Linked DNA regions of Schizosaccharomyces pombe. The gene in region 4 interacts genetically with the main gene of each other region. Each region holds a gene or a part of one and is shown on either strand. Other genes may lie near its edges.

What was found.
Region 1: mutations in spf30 (region 4) and tcg1 together harm fitness more than expected from each alone (negative genetic interaction), as found in Schizosaccharomyces pombe (one large-scale study listed by BioGRID).
Region 2: mutations in spf30 (region 4) and msy1 together harm fitness more than expected from each alone (negative genetic interaction), as found in Schizosaccharomyces pombe (one large-scale study listed by BioGRID).
Region 3: mutations in spf30 (region 4) and dep1 together harm fitness more than expected from each alone (negative genetic interaction), as found in Schizosaccharomyces pombe (one large-scale study listed by BioGRID).

The regions. Positions count from the first base shown.
Region 1 is NC_003423.3:213,537-217,457, reverse strand, and holds tcg1 (single-stranded telomeric-binding protein Tgc1), read right to left. Parts: upstream 2,360-3,921; 5' UTR 2,315-2,359; coding exon 2,103-2,314; intron 1,937-2,102; exon of another isoform or gene 1,853-1,936; coding exon 1,651-1,852; exon of another isoform or gene 1,598-1,650; coding exon 962-1,597; 3' UTR 557-961; downstream 1-556. Other genes in the region: ergothioneine biosynthesis methyltransferase Egt2, read left to right, coding at 1-457; mef2 (mitochondrial translation elongation factor G), read right to left, coding at 2,559-3,921. UniProt on the Schizosaccharomyces pombe protein: Binds single-stranded telomeric sequences of the type (TG[1-3])n in vitro. Has a role in meiosis.
Region 2 is NC_003421.2:616,817-623,749, forward strand, and holds msy1 (MS ion channel protein 1), read left to right. Parts: upstream 1-2,031; 5' UTR 2,032-3,207; coding exon 3,208-6,243; 3' UTR 6,244-6,406; downstream 6,407-6,933. Other genes in the region: transporter mug73, read right to left, coding at 6,791-6,933.
Region 3 is NC_003423.3:3,798,672-3,802,838, reverse strand, and holds dep1 (Rpd3L histone deacetylase complex subunit, Sds3-like family protein Dep1), read left to right. Parts: upstream 1-1,689; 5' UTR 1,690-1,832; coding exon 1,833-3,308; 3' UTR 3,309-3,654; downstream 3,655-4,167. Other genes in the region: cqd1 (ABC1 kinase family protein ), read right to left, coding at 10-642; vps1301 (lipid transfer protein), read left to right, coding at 4,136-4,157. UniProt on the Schizosaccharomyces pombe protein: Component of the RPD3C(L) histone deacetylase complex (HDAC) responsible for the deacetylation of lysine residues on the N-terminal part of the core histones (H2A, H2B, H3 and H4).
Region 4 is NC_003421.2:1,381,533-1,385,314, forward strand, and holds spf30 (splicing factor Spf30), read right to left. Parts: upstream 2,013-3,782; 5' UTR 1,894-2,012; coding exon 958-1,893; 3' UTR 523-957; downstream 1-522. Other genes in the region: chaperone EMC4, read right to left, coding at 2,500-3,081. UniProt on the Schizosaccharomyces pombe protein: Involved in spliceosome assembly.

The DNA.
Region 1 (3,921 bases), on a different chromosome or scaffold from region 4:
AGCACTTCCTCTCTCATACGGTTATGGATTAAGAGAAAAGGAATCAATTGCCGTAGATACTCTTACCAATCGGTTTGTCAATTCTTTCAAGCAAGATTTACCTAAGTTTATAGCTGTTGGTGAGGCTATTAAGTTTCGAAAATCCATTGGAGGGGAAGAAAAGATTCAACAATATTGTCATGAAATAGCTTTAAAGGGAGCCGAAATTATTTCTAAAGAACTGGGCACTTCCTTTATCAAACCTCCATACCCAGTTGCAATGGTAAACGTCGAAGTTCCCTTACGCAACATTCCCTCCATAGAAACACAGAAAGTATTTTGGCCTAAATATAATACATTCCTTCGATTTATGGAATTTAAAGGAAAATTTTACACTAGACTTAGCGGTGCGGTGTATTTAGAAGAATCAGATTTCTATTATATTGCTAAAGTTATTAAAGACTTCTGCTCTCTTTGAATAACTATGCTTCACAATGCATCCTCTGACTCTTTTTATGTGACTCAAAGCACTTAAGTTATTTAATACTCACCTGTGTTTTAGACATTGCAGCACAATAGATTCTAAATCTTAAGAAGCCTATAACATTCGTTTAACTAGTTACTTATATTTTGCGTGAATCAATTATTACAACGTTCACAATTTTGGAAGAAAATGTATATTTTTACTTGAAGCACTTTAACGTTTCAAATGTACAAAGATGCAAAACTATTTTTAACAATAGGCCCGAATGTATTTTTGATACAAACGGAAAATATATAAGGCACAGAACTCCAAGCAATGAATATAGTCTAGTCTACAAAGCTGCAACTTTTTACCAGGAACATGCATGGGTTCCATGCTAAGGGAGAGAACGTGACGTGCGGAAACATGAGGGTATTCGGGACATATATAAGTATAATGGCGAGGCTCATTATAAAAGGAACGAAGAGCCAGGAATAATCACAAATCATATTTTAACTTTTAGGCAGTTATAGCACTAGCAGTAACGCCTGATTTTTCTTCTGAGTCAACCTCAGATGCTTTGGGCTCAGTAGAATCAGACACGTTAGTGGGAGCAGATTCTGAAGCCTCAATAGGTTCGTTTTCATTTTTTTCATTTTCATCATTTTGCTTATCTTCACGGAAGACAGCACTTTTAACAACCAAAGTAAGGTCACCTACTTGCTTTCCATTCATTTCCTCAATAGCTCTGGATTGATCCTCAGCATTAGCAAAAGACACAAATCCAAAACCACGACCACGACGTTGCTCACCACGTAATTTTATACGGCGAATAATATAAGGAGGAAGGGAACGAACAGCAATACGAGCACGAGTAGGATTGTAAGCATCGAACATTTCTTTAAGGCCTTCATTTGTTAAAGTAACGGAGAGGCCTGAAACATAAATAGAGTTGGGAGGCAAAGGCTTAGCCTTGTTTTTACCAGACCCACCCTTTCCTTTGATCTCATTTTGTTTCTTATCGACACCATTTGCTTCATTACTTGAAGGAGCTGTTGCGGTATTAGCTTCATTTTCATCACTGGAGCCCTTAGCAGATTCAGCATTTTCGACAGAAGTTGAAGTTTCAGGTTCTTCACCATTTTTATTTTTTGACTAATGTGTCAGAATGATATTGATAAAAGCTTTGCGAACTAAAGTATACTTACCTTTTTCCTATCTTTTATAGGTTGCTCTTGGACAGGACGAGCTTTTTGAACAACAATCTCGCGATCATCCAATGTTTTACCATTCAATGTCTCTATAGCTTTGTCAACATCCTCCTGATTGTTGAATGTAACAAAAGCAATGCCAGAAGGTACGAGACGGGTACCACGGCGAACACGACGAAAAGGAATAGTTACTTTACGACTAAAAAGCATTAGTAGATGATCAAATATAATTAAAGTAGCACAGATAGTTTCGAGTAAATATAAGCTCGCATAGCTCCGTTTTAAAATCGTTTTTGTGAAAAATATAAAGTATGACTTCTAAAAAGTAAATTTTCAACAACTCCAAATTATGCACTGATTTTAATAGAGAGAGCTTTAGCTTTAGCGCTTAAACATAAGAAAATTTTGTTCTAACTCGAAATTGCTAAAACCAGTAATAGTTTACATACACAGTACCAACCGTTTCAAACAATGAACGGATTTCACTCTTTTTGGTAGACGTACTTAAACGCCCTACAAAAACACGAAAGTCGTCCGCTTGTTGAGCAGGTGTGTTAGATTGTTCTGCAGATGCATGTACAGCAGCATCTACAGATGCTTCAACTTGATCTTGAACAGTATTAGGAGCGTTTTGGGTTACAGTTTCCTCAGCGGACATCATTAAATTCGTCTAGGCGTTTTGTAGTAATTATAGTCGATATATGCTAACGGTAGGTTCCATCTGACGTTGGGGACAACATGTACACAACTCCGTTGCAGACGTGTGTGTATGCATACACCGAAACGTATAGAAAAAGAATGTCAAACATACAGCTTTTTAATGATAAGGATGATTTTTATAGAAAAATAGAATTATATCTTTTTTTCTATGTATTTATTTTACCCATTAACCCACATTTCTGACCTTAAGGAAATATTCGTTTTTGTCTCTGCATAGACATAGGATGAAAGGAAGAACCGTAATTGACCAGCTTGGGAGTTTGAGATTCCATAGGATGAGACATAAGAAATTTTGCATTACCTTTTGTTAAAGAGCTTATAACACTGTTGTAGTCGAGAATCTGCTCCAAAGGCACCTGAGCACGAATACATTTAATGACAGATGAACTCTGTAGTAGAGAAGAAGCATTGTTTGCTTTAACAGAACTAGGTTCATCAGCTGGTAGATATCTTTCACCTAATATTCCTATCGCTATCTGCGAGTCTTTCGAAGCAGCATTCTTTCCAATCTCTGTAATTTCTTTGATCGTGGCTCCCCGCTTGCCTACAAGATCTTTAGAAACAATACCAACATATTCTTCAGGAGTTGTAATTGTAACATCCATATAAGGTTCTAATATTCTGAAACTTTTGGGACTTCTCTTGTATAATGAAAATACTGCATTTTTGGTAGCTTTCATCGATGCTTGTGTCAAAAGTGACAACGGAAAGTCATTAGATAGAAAAGAAGAAATGGTACAAAATGACTGCAAATTCGTGAGAGGAAACCCATGTAAAGGCCCATGCGATAGACCTGCAACTATTCCAAAGTAGATGTTTTCTTGAATACGTTGGAAAGAGAGATGATCCGGTAAAGTACACGAGTTTTCCGGCTTCCAGCCATAAAACAAAACTCCATCTTCTTGCCCTTTACTTCGAACTTTTTGGATCTCACCTTCAGAAAAATATTTTTTCAAGGTTTCATCTCCTTCATCAGAAATAGGGATTAAGTAAACATTAATAATGAGATTCTCTTTATTTTCTGTGCTTAAGGTAACTGAATTAAAGCTTACATCAATCAAAGTTTCACGATAACCAACTTGAACTTTTCCTAAAGATGCTCGAGCTCCAAATTCAGACACCAGTCTTTCATAAGAAACTTGTAAATGCATAATGCCCATCCCTTGTATCAATAGTTGTCCATTCTCTAAATCTTGGGTATATCTAAATGAAGGATCTTCACGATTCATGTTAGCCAATGCTTCTAAAAGTGCGGGTTCATCTTTTAGCGAATAAGGTTCTATAGAAGCAATGCAAACAGGTTCAGGAATACTGATAACACTTTGATTTCCAGAAAGGTACTCATGAAAATTTTTTGAGTTCTCTTTATTAATAATGATATCTCCGGTATGAAATTGTTTAATCCCACTAATCACTCCTATGTTTCCAGCGGAAATGCAATCAACTTCTTGAGTCTGGTCAGCGAATACATTGTATAAACGAATTGCTCTTTCTGACTTTTTAGTTCTTGGATTAAACATCATCATTCCTCGGCTTAAAGTCCCTTCA
Region 2 (6,933 bases), 760 kb from region 4:
TTCATTTCCTGACAAATTATTGATTGTGAAAGCGCGCCCTGTCTCTAAGAAATATGTTTGCTGCTTTGCTTGTCAACTTTGTACGGTATAGTGCATTTTCCTATCACTACAAAGGGTTTAAATACAATTTATAATTATAAACTTTTGCAGTGTTGAAAACAGCAGTTCTTAGACTGATCACCAAAAACATCTATTGGAATTAGAAACCTTGGATAGTAATTTTAAACGAATCGATTCGTGCCTTTTTTTGGTTTATTTTTAATTTATACAACTTTTTTCAATGTTTATTATATAGTGCACGGCGTAATAATACGTATTGTGATTAAAACCAATACATCCTTATCCGACAGTGAAATAAGACGTCGCGTCTACTCAATGCGAACCTGCGCATAACGACAGGCACTATGATCTTTTGCATTAATTCCTCTACTTGTAGGATGAGGACATTTTCAACTATTTTAGGAAGAAAATGAAATTGATATCATCGATCATTTTCGCGCATCTAAAAGGAATGAAAGCCAAAAACTTGCTGGCACGGAATTACGGTTATAATGATGTTCAATTTGACCAGATCAGGTTTTTGCAGGAATTAAATTTTCCTTACTTTCAAAATAGTGATTTTTGTAAATCATTTTATTCCTCTTCACTTCTCTCATTCTGTTCTTCTATCCAGCTCAGTCATCTTAAGACATTGTTTACCAAATAGTGAAGTTTACTGTGTAGTAAGCAAGGATTCGAAAATCACTCTCATTATCGCTATAGTAATGAGTTCGAAAGTTTATCAACCTCTGTGTACGGCCTGGATTACAGGCGAAATTGGGTAGAGAAAAATTTCAATAAACAATGTTGCAGTTTTGCAATCCGCTTTGATTAAAAAATTCAAATTTCAGTTTCCAAGTAGATTAGATAATTCGACAATTTTCTTGTTCTTACTCGAAATGTTAACTACAAACATTGCAAGCTGCCTATGGTCCAGTCCATACTTCCATCGTCCATTCCCTTTCACACTTTATACTTGTCTGCACTAGTCTCAACTCTATGCTGCGTTCCTCTTTTCCCTAGCATTGCATCAAGCTCGGATTATTTTTACAACCTTTCTAAGTCTACGTCTACGTCTACATCTGTATCCATATCTCAATTTACGTCGTCCTTCGCCGCCCGTCATATTACTCTGCTCCATCATCTCGTCCCTTCCCTTCCCTTTCCGCTTTAACCCTAACCAGGAAAATTGTGAAACCGATGGATCGCTCGTCGCTGTGTACTTTGATGTGATTTCATAAACCACCAAACCCTTCCACCGGATCTGTTAAAACCGGTCAAAACACAGTAGAAATGCTGTTGACTTGCTATAAGAAAAAGTGAAAAGGCAAACCACTGGAGAAACGAATCCTCAAGAAAACTAGGTATAAGCATAATTTAATGGAATAAGCATATTTCTTGGGTACCACTTGTCCATCATTTTCATCTATTTATTGTTACTTTTGGATCCGGGTCGTTGGACATGGCAAGATCGCCGTAACCAGATTAGGAATAGAGTTATTCGCTACTCATAGCTCGGCGATAAAGCAAAAGAGAAGAGAAAATGCTGGAGCTAACACACAGGATGCAAATAACAAGAGCAGATATCGTTGCGAGGCAAGTCATGGGAAGTCATCTTGGATGATGTGCAAGTCTCCGATAATAGACCCACTTCATTAGAAAAGCTCATTTTTTGACCCTTCTAGATGAGATAGCTTTAGCATTCATATTACTTATTTTTTTGGTTTCATCTTTTTTTTTGTTTTATCTTATCCTCTTTACCATCCTTCCCTCCCTCCCTCCTTCTCTTTCCTTTTTCTACACACTCGGCTGCGTTACTGTACCCTATGTGTCTCCGACGATCCTACGCAATTGCTACTTTAATGAGCTCGCTTGTGATTCGCTTTTCCTGAATTGCAAATTTTTCCTGCTTCTCCCTTTCCCATCTTTGCGTGCAATGACATCATAATGCTGTCCAATATATAAGAAAGCTACATCTATTTTGAGCCACCTGCAGATAACCAACGTGTTGAATTTTTATACATTCAACCACCAATTCTTGTCCTATTTCACCAGTAGAAAGATATATCGAAATTCTCCCCCCTAGTTTTGAGATTTTCTTTTTCTCTTAAACCTCTACTGGTGAAGAAAAAAATTGTACTTTCTTCACATTCTTAGCTCTGTGTTCTTGGCGCTTTATTTGTGATATTCAGTACGGTTTATTTGTTTATATCTCGCATTTCATTCCAACTTTAAACATCTAAAACGTTCGACTCTCATTCCTTTTTATTTTTTTGTCTTTTCCCGGTCGTTGTTGATTTTTTTCGGTTTTGTTGAGTGAATTGGAATCGCGGCTTCAATAAAAGATAATCATCACTTTTCAGCTTGTTTTCAGTACTCTTTGTGAAATTTCTTTGTAGTACTTTTCAACGCTTTTTTTTTCCTTTTATATTTTTTTCTATATCTAAACTCAACTCTAAAGACCGGTTTGCGGCGTTTTGCTTCTTGTGCTAACAATTTTACATTTAAACAACTTGATCTTTTTCAAACATTCTCTTTCTACAATCTTTACTCATCTTGTCTTATACACACTGTTGGTTGCATACTGAATGGTTGATAGGTTGTTTCATTAGTTCTGTTTCATCTGTTGCCATTGTTAATCTTATACTAAATTTGTCCAAGCAATAAAAAATAAAAGTATTTTTTACAGTTCTTTGTTGTTGGGGTCTTTTTGCGGTTTTACTTTCAAAAATTTTTTCCTTAGAGTTAAATTGTTTATCTCACGATTGATTATTTGACCTCATTTGTCAACCACATCCCCATTCCAAGCTATCTATTTTAAACATTTAGAATCTCTTTTTTTTTTAGGTACCCAAGTTATCGACTTTTTTGTTTTTCCTCTCATTTTTAGTTCCTTCCTTGTACTTGTGTTTAATCATTACTCATCCTTGGATTTCTGCATTTTATTGACGTTTGGTCAAGTTTTCTATTTATTCCCTCTTGTGTATTTTTTCTTTTCCTCTGGACGATAGTTTCTTCTCATTCCTTTCATCATATTCCCTATTCCTGGTAACTCAAATCAATTCATCCTTGTCTGTTTTTCTTTTCCCTTTTTCATTTAAACCTTTTCAGACAGTTTCTTATTTTTTAAATTCTTCATACTTACGGTTTTCGCTCGCTCCTTTAATCATGTCTTCTCCTACTTCTCCTACTTCTAGTCCTGGTCGCCATCATTGGTCAAACTCGAAAGACGGTATGCCGCCAGAGTATACTAATCAGGATCCCAATTCTGATCAAGCTGATAACGAAAACTCTGATGCCAAGGCTCACCAACCTCAGCATTCTCCCCAGCATTCTACAGAAAATCAAGGTCATACTGGGACTAGTGATACTTCGTCCCTGGAAATGGAACTATCAAAGTTGCACCCAGAATCCAAACAAAGGCAGTTGCCGCACTCTCCTGAACATGAGCGATCTCGATCGCCTATTGCTTCTGTCGTCTCATATCGCTCGCACATGACTTTGGAAGATGAAAATCAGATTTTTAATGCCGAAATGGCTGTCCGTGGTTCTCAGTCTTTGCAAAGACGTCCTACCGGCCGAAGTGTTCGCGGATCTATGCGACGCCTTTCTTCCCATCGTTCTAAATCCATGCGTACCTCCAAGTCTAAAAAGTCGGGCGATTATGAACGTACTGCGGAGAATGAAGAAGCCGCTCAAGAGGCTGAGAATCATTTAGACAACTTTGGTGTAGTGACGTTTGGTACTGAAGCTCCTATTAAGGCTCCGGACCATCCTGTAACTATTTTTGGTCGCATATTCAAATTTATTCAACAGCGAAGCTTTTACCTTCGTTCGCTCATTTACATTATTCCTCTCGGGGTTTTACTCTTGATTCCAGTATTCATTGGTCGCTTTTATCACCCACAACCTCCTTACCGTGATGAACTAGGTCATGAATATGAGCGCCATTTACACGTTGGAGGTGTTGATTTGATGTGGATGGCCATCTGGTGGGAAATTATATGGCTCTCTATATGGGCTGCTCGCTATGCTGCCAAAGTAATTCCTTATTTCTTTGCCTTCTTCGTCTCCTTCATCAGTAACAACGTTACTAAATGGAGATGCATGGCAGTTGCCCTTGAGTTTCCTATTACATTGTTCCTTTGGATGTTAGCTGTATATGTCAGTTTCCTTCCCATTATGACCCGCCGTCATATTGGTGATTATGGTGTACCTGATCATGTACGCGTAAAACTCCCTTGGCAACAGAGCGCCAACAATGTACTTATCACTTTATTCATCACCTCAATTATGAATTTGGTGGAGAAAGTACTTATGCAGTTGATCGCCATGTCGCTTCACCGTCGTGAATATGAATCTAGAATCCTTTACAATAAGTTTGCTATTAATGAACTCGCCCGTTTGTATGGATATGCGCGACAGCGTTCTTTTGATTTCAAAGATGCTATCCATCGTGCTCAAGCAGATGTTTTTAAGTTTGCTGATCACCAACATGGCAAGAAGCGCGCAGCAGCTGCTCGGGTTGCTCAGAATGCATTGAATAAAACCACTTACAAAGCTATCTCTGCATTCAACTTCGCTACGGATATGGTTAACAAAGTGGCTGGTGAGATTACTAATCGTGAGGTCGAAAAATCTTCTTCTCCTAAAAGTGTTGTGCTACACTTGTTAAAGACCACACGCGGTTGTCAATCTCTAGCTCGTTGCTTATTTGAGGCATTGGTGAATCCTGAGAATCCCGATTTAGTACTGGATGATTTTATTCCCGTATACACCGATGAAACTGGTGAAGTGGATAATGCCACCTTAGAGGCATGTTATTCTATTTTTGATCGTGATCTAAATGGTGATATCACCTGTGAAGAAATTGAACTCGCATGTGTGGAAATTGGAAAAGAGCGTAAGAGCATTTCTGCTTCACTTCGTGACTTGAACGATTCCATTTCTAAGCTTGATGGTATTTGCATGTTTATAGTGGCTGTCATTACTCTTTTTATTTTCTTATACTTGATTGCCCGTAACTTTAGCGGTGTACTTACCTCTGCTGGAACTACTTTGCTAGGTTTGTCTTGGCTGTTCTCCGGCTCCGCACAGGAATTACTTAGTTCTATTATATTCGTATTTGTGAAACATCCTTACGATGTGGGCGATCGTGTCGATGTCATGATCAATGGCACAGTCACTTCAGCGATGGTCAAGGAAATTTCCATCATGTCTACCGAGTTTCGTCTATTGACTGGAAAAGTCATTCAAGCTCCAAACAGTTTGCTGAACACCCTTTGGATTTTGAACATGCGTCGTAGTGATGGCATTGCTGACCCAGTCACCGTTAACCTGAAGTTTGGAACTACTCTTCAGCAAATTGAACAACTGCGAATCAAAATTATTGATTTTTTGAAAGAAGAGAAGCGTGATTATAAACCTGACTTACTAACTGAAGTTACGGATTTACCGGATCTCTATTCCATGTCTTTGTGTGTTGTATTCTTTCATAAATATAACTTTCAAGACGAGGTTTTACGTATGCGTCGAAGAAATATGTTTATGTGTGCATTGATGACTTATATGCAGGAATTGGATATTGTATCTCCTATTTTCAACAGCCCTGGTAAATCAAAGGATTCACCTATGTATGTCAACTTCAACAATGGTTCAATGGAGGGTGTTAAGTTATCTGGTGGTAATGATGGTGGTGGTACTGAAAATCATCGCGACAGCACTGTTGGCGGAGGAATTCTGAAGAACCCAAAAGCATATCCTTACCGCGAACCTACTCCTCCTGGTAGTTCAGATTCCGATACCGCTAGTGTTTCTAAAAAGCGTGTTGACTTTTCCCTTGGAACACGGCATCTGATGCCTGCTTTTGATGATGTTGCTGATATTGGAAGTAAAAGGCTTGGTCGTGATAGTCTTCCCGATGCTGTCATTGAAAACGCTGGCACAGAGGCCATGCGACGCGAAGCTGAGGAACGTCGCCGAGCCGAAGAGGAAGAGTACGAACGTTCTCAACAAGAATCTAGTTCGAATGAAGAAAACGAAAATGCATCGCGTACGTCAGGTGCTCGTTTTAGCTTTTCCTCTAAAGCTAGTCGTTTGTCGGCTAGACCCAGTGCTCGTACAGTTCCTCCGTTGCAGCATATATCAATTCAAGACTTACGTGAGCCAAACGAAAATAATACTTCTAAGTCTGCTCGACTTTAAATACCCATAACACTTTGCAAACTTGCATCGCTCATGCTAGTTTTACTTACTTCATTCGTTGAAAGTGGCTATTTACCATTTTGGGCACTATTTGTTTCTTTTTTTTAGTTTTTATTTATTATTCTATGAAATGTTTAAACGTATATTGTATCTCAACAGCAAATTTTTGTATTAATATTAGCTATGCCTTGTAAAGTTTCGTAAAAGTTATGCAAATGATTTACGAATAATCTTAAACTAAAACTAGTATAATGCTTTTTTCACGTAAACAATGACTCACCGTCGTAAATTTAGACGTTTCAAGTGCGAATGAACGTTAATAATTGTTCAAAGGTTTCGTTTTTATAATAATTATTTCGTTTTCATAATCGTAATTTTTCACGAAAAAGTGTTTGTGTTTTAGAATGCCAACGAAATTCTCGTAGCGAAACTTCGAGTTTGTTTTAAACATTCAGGAAACAAATAATGATTAAAAAACAAAAAAAAAAAAAACGGAAGGTAAATTTCTATAACTAAGCAAAGATAACTGCAACGATGCGTACTGTTATTAGCAATTATTTTTCGTAGGTGAAGAAGGTAAATTGGAAATTTGAATGCGAGTTTCAACGGCCAAATCATCAGCTTGGTTTTGTGCCTCCATGTCCGGACACATTGAAAACTTGTCATCAGCAGGACTGCATGCCCCTAAGG
Region 3 (4,167 bases), on a different chromosome or scaffold from region 4:
AAAACGTACCTTGATAAACGTTGCTCCTGCTCTTTCTAATTGAGTAACGAGGAAACGAAGCCAAATGGATACGGTTAAAGACGACAAAGATCGAAGATGCAGGAAAGAAATAAGAGCGATAAACGGTAAGGTAATAATAATTGGAGAGAAAATAATAAATAAATTAAATGACCTGAGGAGAATATTAAAAAATTGTTTTATTTTTCCAAAAATAGAACGAGGTCGATTGCTTCTCTCTTCTAATTCAAGTTCGTCAAAGGAGAAAATATTATTCTTTCGATTTTTGACTCTGTATAAAATCCATAATCCTCCGACCGTAAAAGGGAGGACAAGAAATGTAATCCTTAGTATCCTCCATTGCTTCTGGTCTTCACTTTTTTGTCGGGTTGTAAACTTTCTTGCAAATATAGGTTTGGGGAATAAAGATATATGCTTCAATCGATTAACCAGTACGTGCTTTTTTTTGTATGGTGACCAAACTGACTGTGTCCCGCATAACCTTTTCCATCTTGTGTTCTGCGAGTTAACGACAGGAATATAATTTCTTTGAATAATGAAAGCAAAACGAGAGTTTGCAGAAGGAATCATGCTTAGACTAAGTCCCGAACGTATGTGAGAATTCCAGTGAGAAAAACTAATCATGTTCACCAATTATTGACTTTCAGAAGAGCATTTCCTTATCAAGAATCAAAAAAATAAATAAACTAATTACAATGGGTATTTTCGATTGAAAACACTGGCAAACCTGATAAAGAAAATAGGAATTGTTCAATAAATGTGTATAGCAGCTACTAAAAGAGGTGTTTCAAAGAATTTAGGAAACCCTGTCAACCTTTAATATCTTGAAAATAAAGAATGCACCAGTTCAAAAATATTGCTCAAATTTACGTGTCACTAGTGTCTATTGGTGTCAACGTCGAATGACGCTGTCTACTTGTGACTGGGAGAAAGAAAAATAATAATTGTTAGCCAAAATGAAGACTGTAATAATAATCAATTCTTTCATTTTATAAATAAAATATTGACTAATTAATGCTCAGTTCCTATTTGGATTCTATAGAATTGAACTTACAGTATGATAAACTGGATATGATCATCTAGTACGTGAAGAAACATTTTTTTATTCATTATTACCAATAAAATGTAATTTATCAAAATTTCAAAGTTCTAATTGAAGGGAAGATTATTAAAATATAAAAAATGACTGATTATAGGAATCACATTTTTTTTCCTTATACACCTATAATCGGTAATATTCAAATAAGTTAAATAATCAGTTCATGGTAGTATTCTGCTGCCAAAGAGAGATAATTGTAAAATCGCTAGCAGTTGATAAAATAAAGTATAAATTGAAATTAAAATGGAATTGTTTGTACTGAATTAAAAAGCTTTACCATCATTACTTCAATTGCCGTTAACTCAGAGACTAGCATAGAGTTTATCTATAGAGACTCTTTGATTGATTTAATAAAAAGCCTTTGATCGACGATGGTTCATTCGCCAAGTTTCATTGATGAGTAACAGTTGACTGAGAATATTTCACCTAACCCATTCTTGATAAAAGTATAAATTGGAAGTGCTAATTTAGAACAAATTATTAAGTTCTTGGCTCAAAATTTTGAGATGTCCCTACAGGATGTGTAAAAGTTGAGTATGAATATTATTACTGATGCCCAGCTATCAAATGTCATCCTCTCCCCAACACTACCAATTCATTCGAAAACATACATATTGAATGAAAACACACGAAAATCAACGATACTGTTTTTTAGATTCTGACATTTGTAAATTACGAGAGGGTATTTTGAACGAAGTTGAAGAATTAATTCAGGATGACCGAAAATTTGCAGTCGGAATCAATTCCCCATGAAATACTCCCTAAGGAGCCTTTTGATTTACCAATGAACAACTTAAAAAGCTCTCCTAAAAATAAAGATTCAGAGAAACGAATAAATAATTCGATCGCTGAAAGTGAGCAGGTTGTTGATTCGGCTCTATCTAATCCAGAGACCAATGCTAATGAGGATATTATCGCACCTCAATTGCCTTCTCAAAATTCTGAAATCATTGAAAAAAACTCGCCAGTGAACAAACTGAACAGTTCCACGTCCCTCACAACTCATCAGTTAGCGTCACTTCCTAAATTAGAGGTAACAGATCATGATAATGTATCTGAGGCAGAAACTGTAGTCTTAAATGAAGATGAAGAGAAAGAAACATCTTTAGTTGGTTCGGTATCAGTCACTGAGGACTTAGGTGACTCAAGTGCAATTGGCAGAACCATACTGGTAAACAACTCTGTGGAACCTCAGATGGAAAACACAGCAAATATAACCATTGTTAGTCCTTCATTGAAGGAATCTGACTTTGAGTCTGAAGAAAAAGCTACCAATGACAACAATGGACTCATAGAGACTAACCACAACTCGAAACTTGAGGAGTCTTCTGAGCATGAGGAGGAAGAAGACGAAGAGTCGAATATTGAAAGAACCGAAGATTCTGACCACCAGATACCACAAAGAGGTGGAACTTTAGAAGCACCCAGAAAAGGTGGTCCTCGAAGTGGCGTTGGAAGTCGAAAGCGTAAACGTGCAACAGTTTCTCGAAAATGGTCTACTAACAGTGAGAGCAAAATAAAAAGGGTAGCTCTTGAGACCAGCCAAGAGGAATCCGATCGTGAGATTGCAGATCGTCGTTCCGCATCTGAACAGGCTCATGAAGCTGACGATGAAAAGGCTATAAAACGGAAAGAAGCGTTTGATGCTTTGCTAAATATAGAAACGGAGTTTACTTTTTTACGAAACCGTTTATATGGGAAGAAACTGTTAAAGCTGAACGAGCATGAGGAAATGATACAAAACGAAACCCATGAGCGTTTTAATGCCTGCATTGATCTTATAACAGAGCGGCGAGATGATCGTGTGCGTTTAGCTACTGAAAACCTCATGAAACAACTTGGGAATATAAAAAACGTAATGGACTATGTAACGAAACAGAGGAAGTATCAGTTACTGTTTGATAAAAGAAGAATACGACAAGCGCTTCTAACCAAAATTGCAACGAAGTGCTTTCAGCTTTTAAACAAACAAAAATCTGTTCACGATCCCACATATATTACTCAAAAAACCATGTCATATCGCCAAAGTGCCTTGTTACAGAAGCAACGAATTGAATATGAAGCTGCAGTTTTGTGTGAGCTTAATAGTTTTGCTGGGTTTCCGACAGCACCTATTATCGAAACAGCTTCTTTTGATGACATCCGCAACGACCTTTTAGAAATGGGATGCCTCAGTGAAAATCAAGACTAATTTCAAGCATCCTCATTCCCCGCGATAATTCCTAATTTCCTTCACGTTTTACTTCAATTTTGACACACAATTTCCTTTTTGGTACGGTGTCAAGAGTGTTTTTTTTTTTTCAGAGCCTAGTTAAAACTCTTGCCTTTCGTTATCTATTCTAATGTATTTTCTTTTTTTTTTTTTTTTTTTCTAAGCGATAATATAACACATTCGCTCTTCGTTTGTTTCATTTTCTTTAGAATTTACATATTCGGTTAATATTTTTAATTCAGTATTTGTTTCTGACTTAACTAATGAATTAATTTTACAGCGATTCTTTAAGTTTGTAACAGCTATCCGTCTTACTCATTTTGCCTTATAATAAATTTGCTTATGAACAATTAAGTATGTTTAAATTTGATAATAATCATGTGCTTCGCAATCAAAACTAGTTAAGCAAAGTATCCTACTTATCGTTCGATAAAGCTGACTTGTTGACGCATTCAATGGTGTGGCACTTAGCGCCGTAAACAAGTCCTATGTACATTTGAAGGATTTTAATTTAACTGATTTAATAAAAAAAAAAGATTTAGTTTGTTCAAATAAGTAAAGTAATACTCCTTTCACTTAGACTCAATCCGTTTGATGATAAAAAGGTGCGTTATACGGAAATGAAGTTTCCTCTTCTCATAATCGTTTTCTTTTTATATTGAATAATTTTGTTAAATGTATAAATGGAATAAAAAGATTTTCTTTTTCAACAAAACATTCCTCTATTCGCAATTGCATTGCTAACTTTCACCAAGTCGGATGCCAACTGCCTTTTACCTAATTTCAGTGTCAAAGAGCCAACAAACATGTTAGAAGGCCTAGTTGCCGGTATGAATTA
Region 4 (3,782 bases):
AATGAATACTTCAAGTTATGTTTCATTATATTCTATATCCACCTTATTTAACTTCCTCATATCCTTGTTACTATTCTTATCTAGTTTCCGTTGGCATTTGGCTTTGCTGACGAGAATGTGTTATATCTAAGCTTTATTTAAGGGAATATCACTTGGTCATACATAAATTGCATTATAAATTTCAATTAGCATAGTATCTACATTTTATGATAAGTGTTACATGTTTCCATTAAAACAAAATTAAATCTATCCGCCCTTTGTATGCTTACCGATTTCTTTCATACAATTAGATTTTTTGTAATACTAGTATATTAGAGGAGCTAGTTTTCATTGCTGTCTGTGGATGATCCCTCAACATATACGGCTTTATATACCTCTTATAGAATACGAATGACAAATAGAATATTTCAGTTTATCATGTAACAATGCTATTAAAAACATAAGTTGCCGTTATTTAAAAGAGCATGGCGAGACAAGATAGTACCACCACCGATTTACTTTCACCAACTATTGTAAACTAAGAAGTCAAATTTTGGTGGAATACAATTAGCAAATGTCACGGGAAATGGATCTATTGTTTAAGAACGAAATGACTATTTCGCATCAGAAAATAGTAATGATGCTATTCATAAAACCGTATGCAGATGTGAATATAAAAAAGTAGTCTATGGCTGTTAAATTCTTAAGATGCGAAAGGTAATAATTCTTTTCTAATTACTCATTCCTCTCTAATGTATACACCAACAACAACAAAAGAATTGTTTTATAGCTGTAGACAATGCGACGAACAATTTGTTAAATATGGAAAACCAGGACAGCTTCATCAGAAATTAGGTTAAAGATCTGTAAAAAGCTTATTTATGCTTATTGCACCAAAAAATATATAAATGAAAACATAAACAGCGGCTGTTAAAAGCCTATTAATTAAATACCAAGTTTCAAATGAAGACACATTGCTCAGCTATCTTCGTCTTCTCTATAATTATAGATGTGCTTTTCGCGATGCCCAGACCTCGCAACATTTCCAAAATTTTTAGGGTTTGTCCTTCCAGGAAAATCTTCAGTGCTTTTAAATATACTAGATTCTCCAATCTTCTTTCGTTTGCCAACGCGTCCAGTTTTTACACCTCGAGCAGCAAACTGTTTCCAAGAATTTTGTGATGCTTCAAGTGCTGCTTTAGGTTTTAGTTGTTTTTGCTGCTTTTGGGAGTATGAAACACTAGGAACAGGTGGAGGGTTAGAGGGAGGAATGGGAGAGATCTTTGGTAGGGTTGAAACATGCTGAGCGACATTTTGGATCGGAGATACGTTAGCCGTTACAGCCGCCGAACTCTTCATATCTGGAGAAGAGGCACGAGACGCATAATTGGAAGGACTTGTAGACATAGATGCTACAGATATTGCTTTTGTAGGCTCTCTAACAGGTGTACTACGTATAGTGGTAGATTTTTTGAGAATTTCTTTATTTCCTTCTATTTCCTGACGTTTTTCCTCAGGCATGGCCTTAATATGTTTGAGGGAAACAGTTTCAATGTCAGGATAGTCAAGAAATTGTACTGTGTACTTTTTGTTTGCACCGAAGCCTGAAACAGCAGTAATACGTGAAGGATAAAATAAATAATCTCCTGAAACCCATCGGGCCATTACTAAATTTCCAGGCGTAAAGTCGATATGTACTGGCTTTGAAGTATTGAAACCTGCAACACCATTTTGGGAATTTTGAAACGTATTTTTATCATTTTCTACACTTTCTTGTAGTAAGTTTTCAGTAAGGCTAATTAATTCCTTTAAATCATTTTCCAGTAACTGTAATTCCTCGTTTTGGGGAGTCTTCTGAAGAGAAATTTGAACGAGAGCAAGCTGGCTCTTGTATTCCTCTAATTCCTTCTCCATACGATTACTTTTATAGATTTAATAGATTTTTTTTTCAAACAGTAAAAATTTCCAAGTGTAATGGCTTTATCGCCAAAACCGGTTGTAAGTGTAGATAATATGTGAAGCAGGCGCTCAGTGAAGTGCCTGAAAATTAAGCTCAGCTATTACACTAGGGTGAAGAAAACAATATTGGAGTGAGATTAAATTTATACTAAAAGCACTAATTCTTTAACTCAATATACTAAGACATTATTGATAATAGTTAAAACAAAGAAGAATATTTGATATTTCTATATTCAGTATAATCAAGACGTAAAAGAAAGTATTCTATCAAAAATTTCATGCTCTCGAAAACTATGGATGGGTAAAAAGAACTGGATAATCAAGTATTTTCGAGGTTCGTTTATGGCGTGCATGATATCGATTAAAGGCATTGAACGTTTAATGCCGCATAATGGAGGATAAATTATTAATCCAGAAGACAATATGTTTCCGAACTCCAAGCATTCCTTCTTTATATGAATTTATTATTTTCTAGGTCAGCTAGAAGCAATGGCATTAGGAGGTACTATAATTTAACGATTTCACTCGTATATCTTTAAAATTTTGGAGTAAATGAAATTCTTACAAAACAGTTTTACTAGGACCATAAGATCGATCCATAAAGACCTTCGAGACTTCCCAGGCAAGCCAATCGCTGGTAGTCGTTGGCAATAATCCCATTCTTTGCAGCTTATAGACTCCAATCCCCATAAGCAATAATTGGAATAAAATATAAGCACCCATAGCGGGCCAAAGGGTTCCTGGGTGGGTGCCTTTAAATGGGGTGAAGGCAGATCCTGTAGATGTTATTGCTTTCAGTGGATTTACAAGCAACATAAGAGTCGTCATAATACTGAAAATTTGTAGTGAATTACCAGACATGTATGCTAAAATAGCGTTCATAGGAATTTGTTTAAGGGGGGAATATGCAAGCTCCCATGCTTTCTTTAGTAAGAGATCCTTTTGTAATTCTTCCTCTCGTTTAGCAAATATGGAAGTTGAGGAAGCTGAATTTCCTGAATGAATGTTTTTGGAAACCAACGACTTCTGTTGAAATCCTCGAGGCGTAGGGAACTTGTCAGAATTGTCAACGATCTTTTTGGGCTTCTTTGCTAACGCTGGTTTGACCAAATCGATCCAATCTGTTTCTTCGTTAATGTGCATCTTGAAAGGGAAAAAAGAGAAATTTAAAGTTGCGACTAAATTTTTGGACTCGTAAACCAAGGAATAAATTTAGTCAATGAATGAAAAGCCTGATTGCAGCTAACCTACAGTCAAAAAGTATTGGTAGCACCTCAATTATGTTTCTAAAATACGAAGACCAGCCTTATTTGATGTTTCTGAAACAAGATATTTCACCAGAAGTCAATCTCAGTTTTTCGTTATTTGATGTAAGTTGGGTGGTAGAACAATCTTTTCAAGCAAATTAATAACTTTGGTTGAAGTTAAAAATTTTCTGGTCTAAATAATTTGAGAACACGCCTCAAAATATAATATTTCAAAATAAACAATATAGTGGAGGTGGCAGATGCTAAGGAACGAAACTGGTGGTAATAGTGAAAAGCCCATCAGCTAATGAATCCCAAAAATACAAGCGCAAACAATGGCAAAAAGAAAGCCATCCTGTTATAAAAGTTCAAGATTAACTTGCTTTTGTGCTTTCTTTGGTTTTCTACTGTCTCATGGCCCGGATATGAATATGTACAACGCTTAAACATCTAATGTTAATGATTTCTTGTTAATTATCAAACCCAACGATCATTATTGATTACAGCTGGAATTAGTTTTGGTTTCTTTTATGGATATAGGATCTTGATCTTGAAAAAGTTCTGACTCTTTATCTTACAATGGTAATACCATGCTCA